Linked DNA regions of Macaca fascicularis. The protein of the gene in region 3 interacts with the protein of the main gene of each other region in a pairwise test. Links are inferred from orthologs where the notes say so. Each region holds a gene or a part of one and is shown on either strand. Other genes may lie near its edges.

What was found.
Region 1: the proteins of CEP57L1 (region 3) and KATNAL1 interact in binary tests that used the Homo sapiens proteins (3 or more experiments, as listed by UniProt). The two-hybrid records come from large-scale screens. The link is inferred for Macaca fascicularis from reciprocal best matches to the Homo sapiens genes CEP57L1 and KATNAL1.
Region 2: the proteins of CEP57L1 (region 3) and RAD51D interact in binary tests that used the Homo sapiens proteins (3 or more experiments, as listed by UniProt). The two-hybrid records come from large-scale screens. The link is inferred for Macaca fascicularis from reciprocal best matches to the Homo sapiens genes CEP57L1 and RAD51D.

What each region holds. Positions count from the first base shown.
Region 1 is NC_088391.1:10,004,578-10,008,228, reverse strand, and holds part of KATNAL1 (katanin p60 ATPase-containing subunit A-like 1), read left to right. Parts: exon of another isoform or gene 1-66; intron 67-837; coding exon 838-964; intron 965-2,597; coding exon 2,598-2,796; 3' UTR 2,797-3,651. UniProt on the Homo sapiens protein: Regulates microtubule dynamics in Sertoli cells, a process that is essential for spermiogenesis and male fertility. Severs microtubules in an ATP-dependent manner, promoting rapid reorganization of cellular microtubule arrays.
Region 2 is NC_088390.1:41,441,480-41,445,130, forward strand, and holds part of RAD51D (DNA repair protein RAD51 homolog 4), read right to left. Parts: intron 847-3,651; coding exon 756-846; intron 627-755; coding exon 556-626; intron 1-555. UniProt on the Homo sapiens protein: Involved in the homologous recombination repair (HRR) pathway of double-stranded DNA breaks arising during DNA replication or induced by DNA-damaging agents. Bind to single-stranded DNA (ssDNA) and has DNA-dependent ATPase activity.
Region 3 is NC_088378.1:13,195,750-13,199,500, forward strand, and holds the start of CEP57L1 (centrosomal protein CEP57L1), read left to right. Parts: upstream 1-1,044; 5' UTR 1,045-1,125; intron 1,126-3,751. UniProt on the Homo sapiens protein: Centrosomal protein which may be required for microtubule attachment to centrosomes.

The DNA.
Region 1 (3,651 bases), on a different chromosome or scaffold from region 3:
AGTGAAAGGCAAATGGGTATTCATTGATTTTCTTTTTCTGTAGATTTAGCGTTTTTCAAAATAAAAGTAGAAGATAATTAAATTTCGTTTTGTATCTCAGGAAATAGTAGAGTGCCAGATAAACTAGTAATGCATTATCTTAGTGTGCTGTGCTAAGCATATTTGCTACTAAAAGCACTACTGAAATGGCAAGTGTGATTGGTTATTTTAAAAATTCTGAGTATGTTTGAACTTATTCAGTTCACATTTAAATCATACTGGAACAGCACATGTCTGTGGGCTGGCTCTCCAAGTAAAAAATACATTAATGAGCTTTTTGTGCCAATTACTGATTTTCAGGAAATGTTCTTTAAACTACTGATAAGAGTTCTGGAGATCCATGTCATACTAACAGGTGAACAAAGTAATTCATAGGAGTTACACTTGATGCAGTCTAATTTTCTAACACCAGGCTAAGTTTTTTTTTTTTTTTTTTTTTGAGAAGCGTTTCCGGTGCCTGAAAACTGATATTTATATTTTTCGTGAAGGATCTCAGATTCTTTGTTCTCATAGTAGATATCTTCACAGTCTATAAAGAAAACCCAGGTGGTTTTTGTTTTTGTTTTTGATTTTTGTTTTTTGTTTTTTTCAATTTTTAGTTACTGCTACAGAGGCACATAGGAATTTAAATGATTCCATGAGTCATGCAGTGAATTGGTAATAATACTAATGGATACACAGTTATTGACTCTTCTTTGCATTGGCCTCATTTTTCCCCCTGAATGTTAATATGTCATTTCTCAGCAAAATTATTTGTAAAGTAAAACATCTAACAACACCACCAAAATCTTGTAACAGCAAAAGGAAGAGCCGAGCTTCTGAAGATCAACCTTCGTGAGGTCGAATTAGATCCTGATATTCAACTGGAAGATATAGCCGAGAAGATTGAGGGCTATTCTGGTGCTGACATCACTAATGTTTGCAGGTATTTTTTTAATGATCTGTGATGTTAGACATTAGTTATAGACTTGGCAGGAGGACTAGTCTTAAAGTCAATGTAGTTAGCCCAGTGTAGTTAGACATGAAAGCAGCTACCCATTTCTTTGAAATGGTTTCCCATTTGTCCTTTTTTTTTCCCATATAACTTTATTCTTCATTGTGAGATGAAAATTATATAGCATTGGTCACTTATGTTTTTGATCTTTGGATTTTAAAGAAATTGTTGTGTCGGTGGCTCGTGCCTGTAAGCCCAGCACTTTGGGAGACTGAGGCAGGCAGATCACGAGGTCAGGAGGTCGAGACTATCTTGGCTAACACAGTGAAATCCCGTCTCTACTAAAAATACAAAATATTAGCTGGGCGTGGTGGCGGGCGCCTGTAGTCCCAGCTACTCGGGAGGCTGAGGCAGGAGAATGGCGTGAACCCGGGAGGCGGAGCTTGTAGTGAGCTGCGATGGTGCCACTGCACTCCAGCCTGGGAGACAGCGAGACTCCGTCGCAAAAAAAAAAAAAAAAAAACTTGTGTCTAACTTGATGATAACGACTTTGACAACCTAAGATTAGTTTAGCTTTGTGTTGGAGCCTTTCTACATCAACATAAAGTAATATTATTTAGTTTTGGTTGGCATTATTTAAACACATGCCGATGAGCAAAAATGATCAGTGTAAGCTGGGGAAGATACACATTTAACATTTTTTCAGTTTAGCGACATCATAATTTTTAGACACCTCCTGTCACTCTGTGCAGTTATTTTTTTCCTTATTTTTCTAACTGTACTTAAATTGACTGTAGTAGCCTTTCTTTAAAGCTGTAGCATCTGTTTTTCTCACCTTTTCTGCTCGCATTTTTCCCATGTGCATCCAAGTTTAGTGGCATACAATAAGGTCACAATAGTTTCTACCGCTACTATAGTGAAATATTTAAGAACTTGACATTTTTGTTGGCTTGGCCTTCCTAATAGCTTTTTTGTGTTTATGAATTATCCTTTTCTTCCATACCTTCATATTTATGATGGTCATATTTATGTTGGTCAAAAAGAGCTGCACATGATGGTCATATTTATGTTGGTCATATTTATGTTGGTCAAAAAGAGCTGCACATGGGATCAAGAGAAGCCAGAGTTTATGCCTTTAGTTGCCTGCAAATACTCCATGTAGGGAATTCCGTGTCCACTGTATGTGGATATTCATGTTTCAGAGAGAGTGATTTGTGGCTTTATTCCTCTATTTAGGCTGTAGACAAACTGGTCTGTGATTTGAATTATCTTAACATTAGCCACGTGTTCATTTCCAAGTGTACAATTCAGTATTTCAAAATTCGACTTTGGTTTCTTAAACTTCTTGGCTGTCTTTGAGGAGCAAGTGGGAAAATATAATTCAGTACTGTTTGAGCTTAACTTAGACTTTTAGGGTTCATTAACTGTACATTTCATGTTTCTGGTTATTTGCATCCTGTTTTAACTTCTGCCGAACCCCCAGGATGTTTCTTAAGTGGAAAATTCTAAGAAGCCTCATAGAAAACATATAATCTTTTGATTGTTTTTTCATAACTTTGTTACAATTGAAAGTGTTTAAAACATGTGCAAAAATTACTGTTGACTGACTGTGGTGTATTTTTAGGGATGCCTCTTTAATGGCAATGAGACGGCGTATCAATGGCTTAGGTCCAGAAGAGATCCGTGCACTTTCTAAAGAGGAACTTCAGATGCCTGTTACCAAAGGAGACTTTGAATTGGCCCTAAAGAAAATTGCTAAGTCTGTCTCTGCTGCAGACTTGGAGAAGTATGAAAAATGGATGGTTGAATTTGGATCTGCTTGAATTTCTGTCAACTCTTTAATTTCTGGTATTTTTGTTTATAAAATATGAAGAAATTCCTGCAATTTTTAAAAAACAGATTTGGAATTTTTTTTCAGTGGAGTGATTTTCACCTAAAGGAAAAAAAACATCTAAAACTGTGAAGAATACTAAATGTAGTTGAGAAATAATTCAGGGCGAGAGTTTGCTAGTCTCCCTTCCCTCGCTTTGTACTGGTATTCCACGTGTTCCTGCATTAATATTGCACACCCAAGCCAGTCTATCAGGGAGGCTGAAGAGAGGGAGCAGTGTGCTATTTTAGAAACTTGTTTACAGAAGATTTAGAAATACCCCTATTTCTCATTTGCAGTTGTTTTTCTTTGTTTTTGTTTTTGTTTTTTTCCACTTCTTTGCTCTGTCAACATGAGGGACCTATCTATACAGGTTGACTTTTAACATCAAAATTGGATTTGTGTCACACTCTGTATTTATTGTTAAGAGAAGAATGACAGTATATTTTGGAGGAAATAATTTACTGATTAAACCTTTAGAATTTATGACTTACTGTTAGGAGTCTGTCATATGGTTAGAATTTTTACTTCCCCTCCCGCTGCCATTTATTCTACTAGCTACTTAATAACGTCTGGAGCTTTATTGAGGAATATTCTCACGCTCTGTGGTATTTGAATCATTTTGCCAGGTCATTTCTCTGTCTTTAGTATTTTTTTGCTGGTGCTTCTTATACTTAATATGGAAAGGTGGGAAGAATATTGCATTAGATGTAATTCTTCATTCTAGACTTCCAAGTGTGTTTTCACTTTTCTTGTGTGTGTGAAGGAGTCTCACTCTGTCACCCGGGCTGTGTAGTGCAGTGGCATG
Region 2 (3,651 bases), on a different chromosome or scaffold from region 3:
TAAAAATATCAATATGGTTTCTGTGGATATGGAGATTGATGACAAATTTGAATCTTATATTTATTTTTTATCTTTTCTATGAGAAGCATGCAGACTTTAAAAAAACTACCTCATAAGCAGAAAAAGTTACTTCAATAGCAAAAAGATCCATTTATATGAAGTTCTGGAAAAGGCCAAACTATTGGGATGGAAAACAGATCAGTGGTTGCCTGGGCCTGGGGGACCTTTTGGTGGGGTCACAAGACTGGATACAACTATATCCATTAGTCAAACTTCAGACAAAGAGAAAGGTACTCTATGTAAATTATACCTCAATAAACCTTTCTAAAAAGAAAAAATGTAGGAAAACAAAACAAAACAAAACAACAAAAAAACAACAAGACAATTCCTGATTCCCGTAGCTATTTATGGTGCAAAGCTGTAGCTGACCCAGGGAAGCTGGAATATGTCCCTTTCCTAAAGGGCCACTTTGGGGTTCAGAAGCTGACATTTAAGGGAAATAAAGAGCTAGCAATAACTAGAAATCAAGTTCATTGGCCAAGTCTGCTTCCTCACCACCACTGCCATGCCAAGGTCCCGGGCCAGGGTCTTCAGCTCTCGGGCCAGCTGCATCATCAAGGCCAAGCCTGCAGGACGAGGAGAAGCAGAGAGGCAGGGCAGTGGAAAACCAGGGACGGGGCTGGCCAGAGACCAGACTCCAGAGCTGGGAGGCGAGGTCACGTTCCACTGGCCCCAGGCTCTGCCACATCACTCACCTTCCCTCTGCTGACCTCCCAGAAGTGGGGAGACCACCGCAGTGACCGAGTCCACCACCACCACCTTCATAGTCCCTGAAGAACCAGTCACCTAAAGGAATGTGGGGGAAGCACTCATGAACCTGTTGGCCTCTAGGACACATTACAGGACAAGCTTGCTTTTCTATCTAAAACTAGTAAGAAATAGCCCCCCTCATCCCAAATACAGCAGGCTGCACGGGCATCACAGAATGTCATCAGCAGCAATGTCTCCCTCGTCCCATTGGTATGTATAACAGACTTCAGTGAAGACTTGGGTAGAAAGAAAGGGTTTAAATCACAGGACATCAAAACTACACTAAAGTGGCCAGGAACAATGGTTCACGCCTGTAATCCCAGCACTTTGGGAGGCCAAGGTGGCGGATCACTTGAGGTCAGGAGTTCGAGACCAGCCTGGCCAACATGGTGAAACCCCATCTCCACTAAACATACAAAAATTAGCCGGGCGTGGTGGTGCACACCTGTAATCCCAGCTACTTAGGAGGGTGAGGCATGACAGTCACTTGAACCTAAAAGGCAGAGGTTGCAGTTAGCTGAGATCATGCCATTGCACTCTAGCCTGGGTGACAGAGCAAGACTTAAGGAATTTATTTGGAGGCATTTTAGATATGGAAGATGAGGACTGGAGGCATGATCTAGAAGAAGACAGTGAAGTAAAGAGAAGGCTAAACTCTTCAGCCAAGGAAGTTAGGAATTTGAGGTTAGTAGTTAGCAGGACAGGGGAAAGAAAGGAGGGAGTTGGGCCGGGTGCGGTGGCTTAAGCCTGTAATCCCAGCACTTTGGGAGGCCGAGACGGGCAGATCACGAGGTCAAGAGATCGAGACCATCCTGGCTAACACGGTGAAACCCCGTCTCTACTACAAAATACAAAAAAAACTAGCCGGGCGAGGTGGCGGGCGCCTGTAGTCCCAGCTACTCGGGAGGCTGAGGCAGGAGAATGACGTGAACCCGGGAGGCGGAGCTTGCAGTGAGCTGAGATCCAGCCACTGCACTCCAGCCTGGGCAACAGAGCGAGACTCCATCTCAAAAAAAAAAAAAAAAAAAAAAGGAGGGGGTCGGAAAAGAAGGGCCTTACCACCACGGTGGGAGGCTGGACACAGGAGAGAGATGGCTGCTGAGAGATCCATGACCAGAGGTCTCAGTACTCTACATGGGGCTTTCTGAAATTTGATGACTTTAGGGTAGTGTAGTTTTCAGTTAATTTTTTTTTTTTTTTTTTTTTTTGAGACAGTCTTGCTCTTTCGCCCAGGCTGGAGTGCAGTGGTGCTATCTCAGTTCACTACAACCCCCGCCTCCCAAGTTCAAGCGATTCTCCTGCCTCAGCCTCCTGAGTAGCTGTGATTACAGGTGTGCACTACCACACCCGGCTAATTTTTGTAATTTTAGCAGAGATGGGGTTTTACCATGTTGGCCAGGCTGGTCTCGAAATCCTGGCTTCAAGTGATCTGGCCACCTTGGCCTCCCAAAATGCCGGAATTACAGGCATGAGCCACCATGCCTGGCCTGGTGCCATCTTTCTAACCATAATTTTCTGTCTTTACACAAGAAGGAGCATCCTCCTGGTTTCCCTGGACTTAAACTGTTTTTGATGCTTCTTTTGTCTTCTCCCTTACTTCTTATATCCTGATTCTGGTTCTTTTTCTTTTCTTTTCTTCCTGTCTTTCTTTCTCTCTCTCTCTTTCTTTCCTTTCTTTATTTCTTTCTTTCCTCTCTTTTCTTTTCTTTCTTTCCCTCCCTCCCTTCCTTCCTTCCTTCCTTTTCTTTTTTCAGGGTCTTGTTATGTTGCCCAGGCTGGTCTTGAACTCCTGGGCTCAAGCGATCCTCCTGCCTTGGCCTTCCAAAACATTGGGATTATAGGCGTGAGCCACCGCTCCCAGCCTCAGATTCTTAACCCCTAGAAACTGTGAGATAAAAAATCCAAGTCTTAAGCCACCAAGGTTTTGGTAACTTATTATGCAGTAATAGAAGATATACCATCTAATGGTCCTACAGTAAAAAAATACAGTCTTCTGATCTGGAATTGAGAGATTTGGGCTATACGGTTAGTTCTTGTCCTAAATATGTGGTCAATTTTGGTCAACTCACTTCACTTCTCTGGCCTTCACTCTTCTCATCTCTAAAAGTGAGATCAGCACTACTCAGCATCATGTCTCAACAAACTGGTGGGTCATAACCAGCTATGACTTCTGAGAAAAGTATTTGTTCAACTTTTTTTTTTTTTTTTTTAAAGACGGGGTCTAGCTGTGCTGCCCAGGGTAAGGTACAGTGGCATGATCATAGCTCACTGCAACCTCCAACTCCTGGGCTCAAGCAATCCTCCCGTCTCAGCCTCTGGAGTCATTAGGATTACAGGTGTGGGCCACCACTTCCAGCTTGTTCAACTATTATATGTTCTAAAGTTTGTAAAAATCGTTGACTTTATATATAGTTGCGGGGATGCCTGTGCGAACATGTCGTGCTTTGGGGTGAGAGGAAAAGTTTGAGATGAACTATTCTATCTTTAAGGTATCCTCCACATCTAGTCATTTATAAATCAGTGCACCAAATCTTGTCTAAGCATCCAACATGAATAGCAAAGTACCAACCCAAATGCCATTCTAAATCCTCCCCGTTAACACGACTCTGAATGTGTTTGGGCACTGGGCAGAAATCTGACTTCAGGGATAGTGGGCCCAGGCCTTAGTCCAAGATACACACATAACTCCATTTTGGCCAACTAGATGTAAGGGGAAGAGGGACATATTAGTGGGCTCTGGAGAAAGATTCTTCATCCCTGATAAAAGGGAGGAGGTACAGAAAAGAACCATCTATCTTTTACTGCTTTGAATATGGATGTGGATGTGTGAAGACAAGATAC
Region 3 (3,751 bases):
AGTTGAACGCCCTCCAGCCATTCGGGGCTTTTTTGTCTGTGCAGCCACCGGGTTCTCTCGAGCTTTCCCACCCCGCCCCTCCTCCGACACCAGTCCCCGCCCTCCGCAGCTCCTCCCAGCGCCTCAGCAGCCGGCCGGGCGCCGGCAGGGAAGGCTCGCCGAACCCTGGCCCACTGGCCGCAGCGGCCGGAGGCTTTGGCGCTGCTGGAGGGCGGCAGTCTCGGGCAGCCGCTGTCTCGGCGGGCGGCGACGAAAAAAAGCGTCCCCAGCCCCGCCAATTCCGGACCCCCGGGAAGACGCTACTTCTCCGATCCCTGCACCCTCGCCCACCACCGCCGAGCCAGAGGGCATAGGGCGGCCCTGGCAATCCTCGAGCGCAGGGCTGGGCCGCGGAGCTGGCGGGGCGGCGGGGCCCAAGGCGCAAAGCCCGCCCTTCGCCCAGCCCCATCGGTGGGGATCAGCCCAGAGGGCGGGAGCAGGGAGGGGAGACGGGGTCCTCACCCCCAGCCCCTCCCCTTTCTCCGCCCGGCACAAACCGGGAGCCACCCCGGCCCCAGCGCCTTCTTCCCCGCCCAGGCAGACGCGACCCGCCGAGGCAAAGCCATTGGAAAAAGCCCCGCCCTCTGGCAGGCTACCTCCGGACCCCCAGTGCGCCGCGCGCGGCTGCCAACCGCTGCCGGCTGCTACGCATGCGTGACTTAGAACAGGGCACAAGCGCCTCCGGAGGCTCTAAGCTTGCGCCCTGGGGCGGTTTCCGTTCCCGGATGTTTGGAGTGTGTCCTGGAGAAGGGGAAGGAAAAAGTAAGGCGTAGAAGTACACTGAGACTTCGTCACACACAAAACAAGCACGACAAAGAAAAAGGGCACGAAGGGACTCCTGGACGAAATTGAGTCTACATTTAAGATCACCGTAAAAGTAGTGACGGCCTCTTTATTACTCCAAACCCCAGATTTAAGTCGGTGGGACGTCTTCGCGTTGACTTGTGGGGAATGTAGTTTTGATGCTGCCGGCGCGTTTTGTTTGCGACAGAAACTACAATCCCCAGAGGCCACTGCGACGTCGCCTGTGGCTGCCCGCGAACCAACGGTTAGCGGTGGCAGGGGCTGACTGAGAGTGTCTGCTTGGTAAGCACTGTAGGCTGGGTTGTCACCTTTCCTTGACAGGGTTTTTCCTTCCTCCATTTCCTCTGGGATTTTGGAGACGAAGCCATCTAGCGTGGCCTCCCTTAGTCCAAGGATTTTTCCAGTGGCTTGCGTGGGAAGGACTAGTCCAGCTGCCCAAGCGCGGGGTGTGGTGGGTGAGGCGAGGATTTAGGGATCCTGATCCCGAGGGTCGCAGGGAGCGGCCTAAGAAGGAAGGATGCTGTGGAAACTGGAGCTTCGGGCTGCTGCTTCTGCTTCCACCCTTTTCTGTGGGCAGGCGCGGGATGGATTTGGGATCTCTGCGCATTTGCACCTTTGTTTGCCTTTGCTTAGGGATGTGCTGGGCTTTATTTGCTTTTAGAAAGTCATTATTTGAGAAAAGTCGAGGTTTGAACGGCCATCAGTGGACTGATAATCGGTGTAGATTTTAATTCTTTATGTTGCAGAATTGCATTACATTAAATTCTAAAACTTTCATCTTGCTAGGCACTGAATATACAACAATGAGAAAGACAGTCTTATCCAGTTAAGAGGAACCAGTTGTTAGACATACAGTTACAATACTATATGATATCACTGGGATGCCTAGAAGGAGATCACTTAGCCCAGTCTTGGAAAGCCAGGGAAATCTTCATCCCAGCGGAAATGAAGATCAAAAGAACAGCATATGCTAAGGCCCAGAGCGAGAGATAGGGTACTTTCAGGAAACGTCAGTAAGCCAAATCATACATACTTGGCGGTGTGGGGTGGGAAGGGAAGGGTGCTTTTTGTGTATTGATGTACTTTGAAGCTACAAAGAGACACATATTGTGAATTCTTTACATTGTTTCTGTAAGTGAGCTATTTTTGAATAGATGCATAGTTCTGATGAATTGGTCGAATTTCAAAAGCCTGTTACATTCTAACACTTCTAGTTTGAATCCGAATTTTGAAAAGGGAATAACTTATGAATGTGATTGAGAAAACAAAACAAAACCATTCCGTTTTTATCTCCTTTTTGGGATGATCATCCTCTATCCAGCCCATAAAGGGTAGGGTAGTTTCTTAAGGCTGGGTGCCTTTTTATGCTGTAGTTAAATATGATCTCACGTGTACCCATGGCTTCACCAACACTTATGACTCTCAAATGAATAGCTCCATTCAGCTTCACCTCTCAGCTTTCACATATCTATCTCTTGGATATTTCTTCTTGGATATCTCAAAAGCATCTCAAACTCAACATTCCTAAAATCAAATACATAGTTATCTGTTACAAATCTGATTCTTTTTCAGTGTTCCTTATTTCAGCAAAGGACACTACCATCCATCTACTTGTGAAAATTTGAAAGCCAAACATTATTCTTTATTTCTTCTTGCCCTTCATACTTTTATGGCTAAATTATTACCAAGTTCTGCCAATCTTATCTCCCAAAATATCCTTCAAATATATTTTTCTCTCCACCTGTCTTCAAACTGTGGTAATCTCTCAAGACCACTACAGTAGCAGTTATTCACAATGACCCTCCTCCATTAGTTCTCCATTATAGCTACCAGAATGATTTTTTTGAAACTGCAGATCTGATCAGATTTTCTCTTGGTTAAAACTATTCAGTGGTGTCCTGCTACTGTTAAAATAAAGGCAAAACTCCTTTATAAAGCCTGACATCATCTGGTACTCTTTCAGACTCACTTCATATACTGCTCTCCAGATCAACCATACAGACCATTTTTCACTCATTGGTTCTCATATTCCATTTCACCCACACATTTACTCAACAAATTTCTGTTGAGTCCCTTTTATATAACAGGACATTGAGGATACAGCACTGACCACAATATATAAAAATTCTTACTGTCATAGAGCTTACATTCTACTGAGAAGAGATAGTAAATAAATATGTAAAACATTTAGTAAATGAAATGAAGACAAATGCAGTGGAGAATAAAACAACTGGGAAGGGGAATGGGGAGTGTCAGGATGTGAGGGGCTAGGTTTACTTTTAAATAAAGTGGTTAGAAAAGACCTAATCCAGAAGGGGACAATTGAGGAGATATGAAGTAGGGGAGGGAATAAACCATATAGATGCCTGGGCAAATAGCATTCTAATGAAGAGAGTTAGTGCAAAGGCAGGAGCCTGAGTGCACATTTGAGAAATAGCAAGAAGGCTAGTGTGGCTGGAACACAATGAGTACAAAGAGAATAACATGAGGTCACAGAGAAAGGAAGTAATGGTGGGAGAACATGTACGTGACTGAAAGGACTAACATTTTTAATTGAGTTGGGAAAGCATTGGAGAGTTTTGTGCAGATGAGGGCATGATCTGACTTTTTTAAAATGACTACTTTTCTTTCTCTCTCTCTCTCTTTCTTTTTCTCTCTCTCTTCGATGGAGTTTTGCTCTTGTTGCCCAGGCTGGAGTGCAATGGCACAATCTTGGCTCACTGCAACCTCCACCTCCCAAGTTTAAGCAATTCTTCATCCTTGGCCTCCCAAGTAGCTGGGATTACAGGCATGCACCACCATACCTGGCTAATTTTGTATTTTTAGTAGAGACAGGGTTTCACCATGTTGGTCAGGCTGGTCTCGAATTCCTGACCTCAAGTGATCCACCCACCTCAGCCTTGCAAAG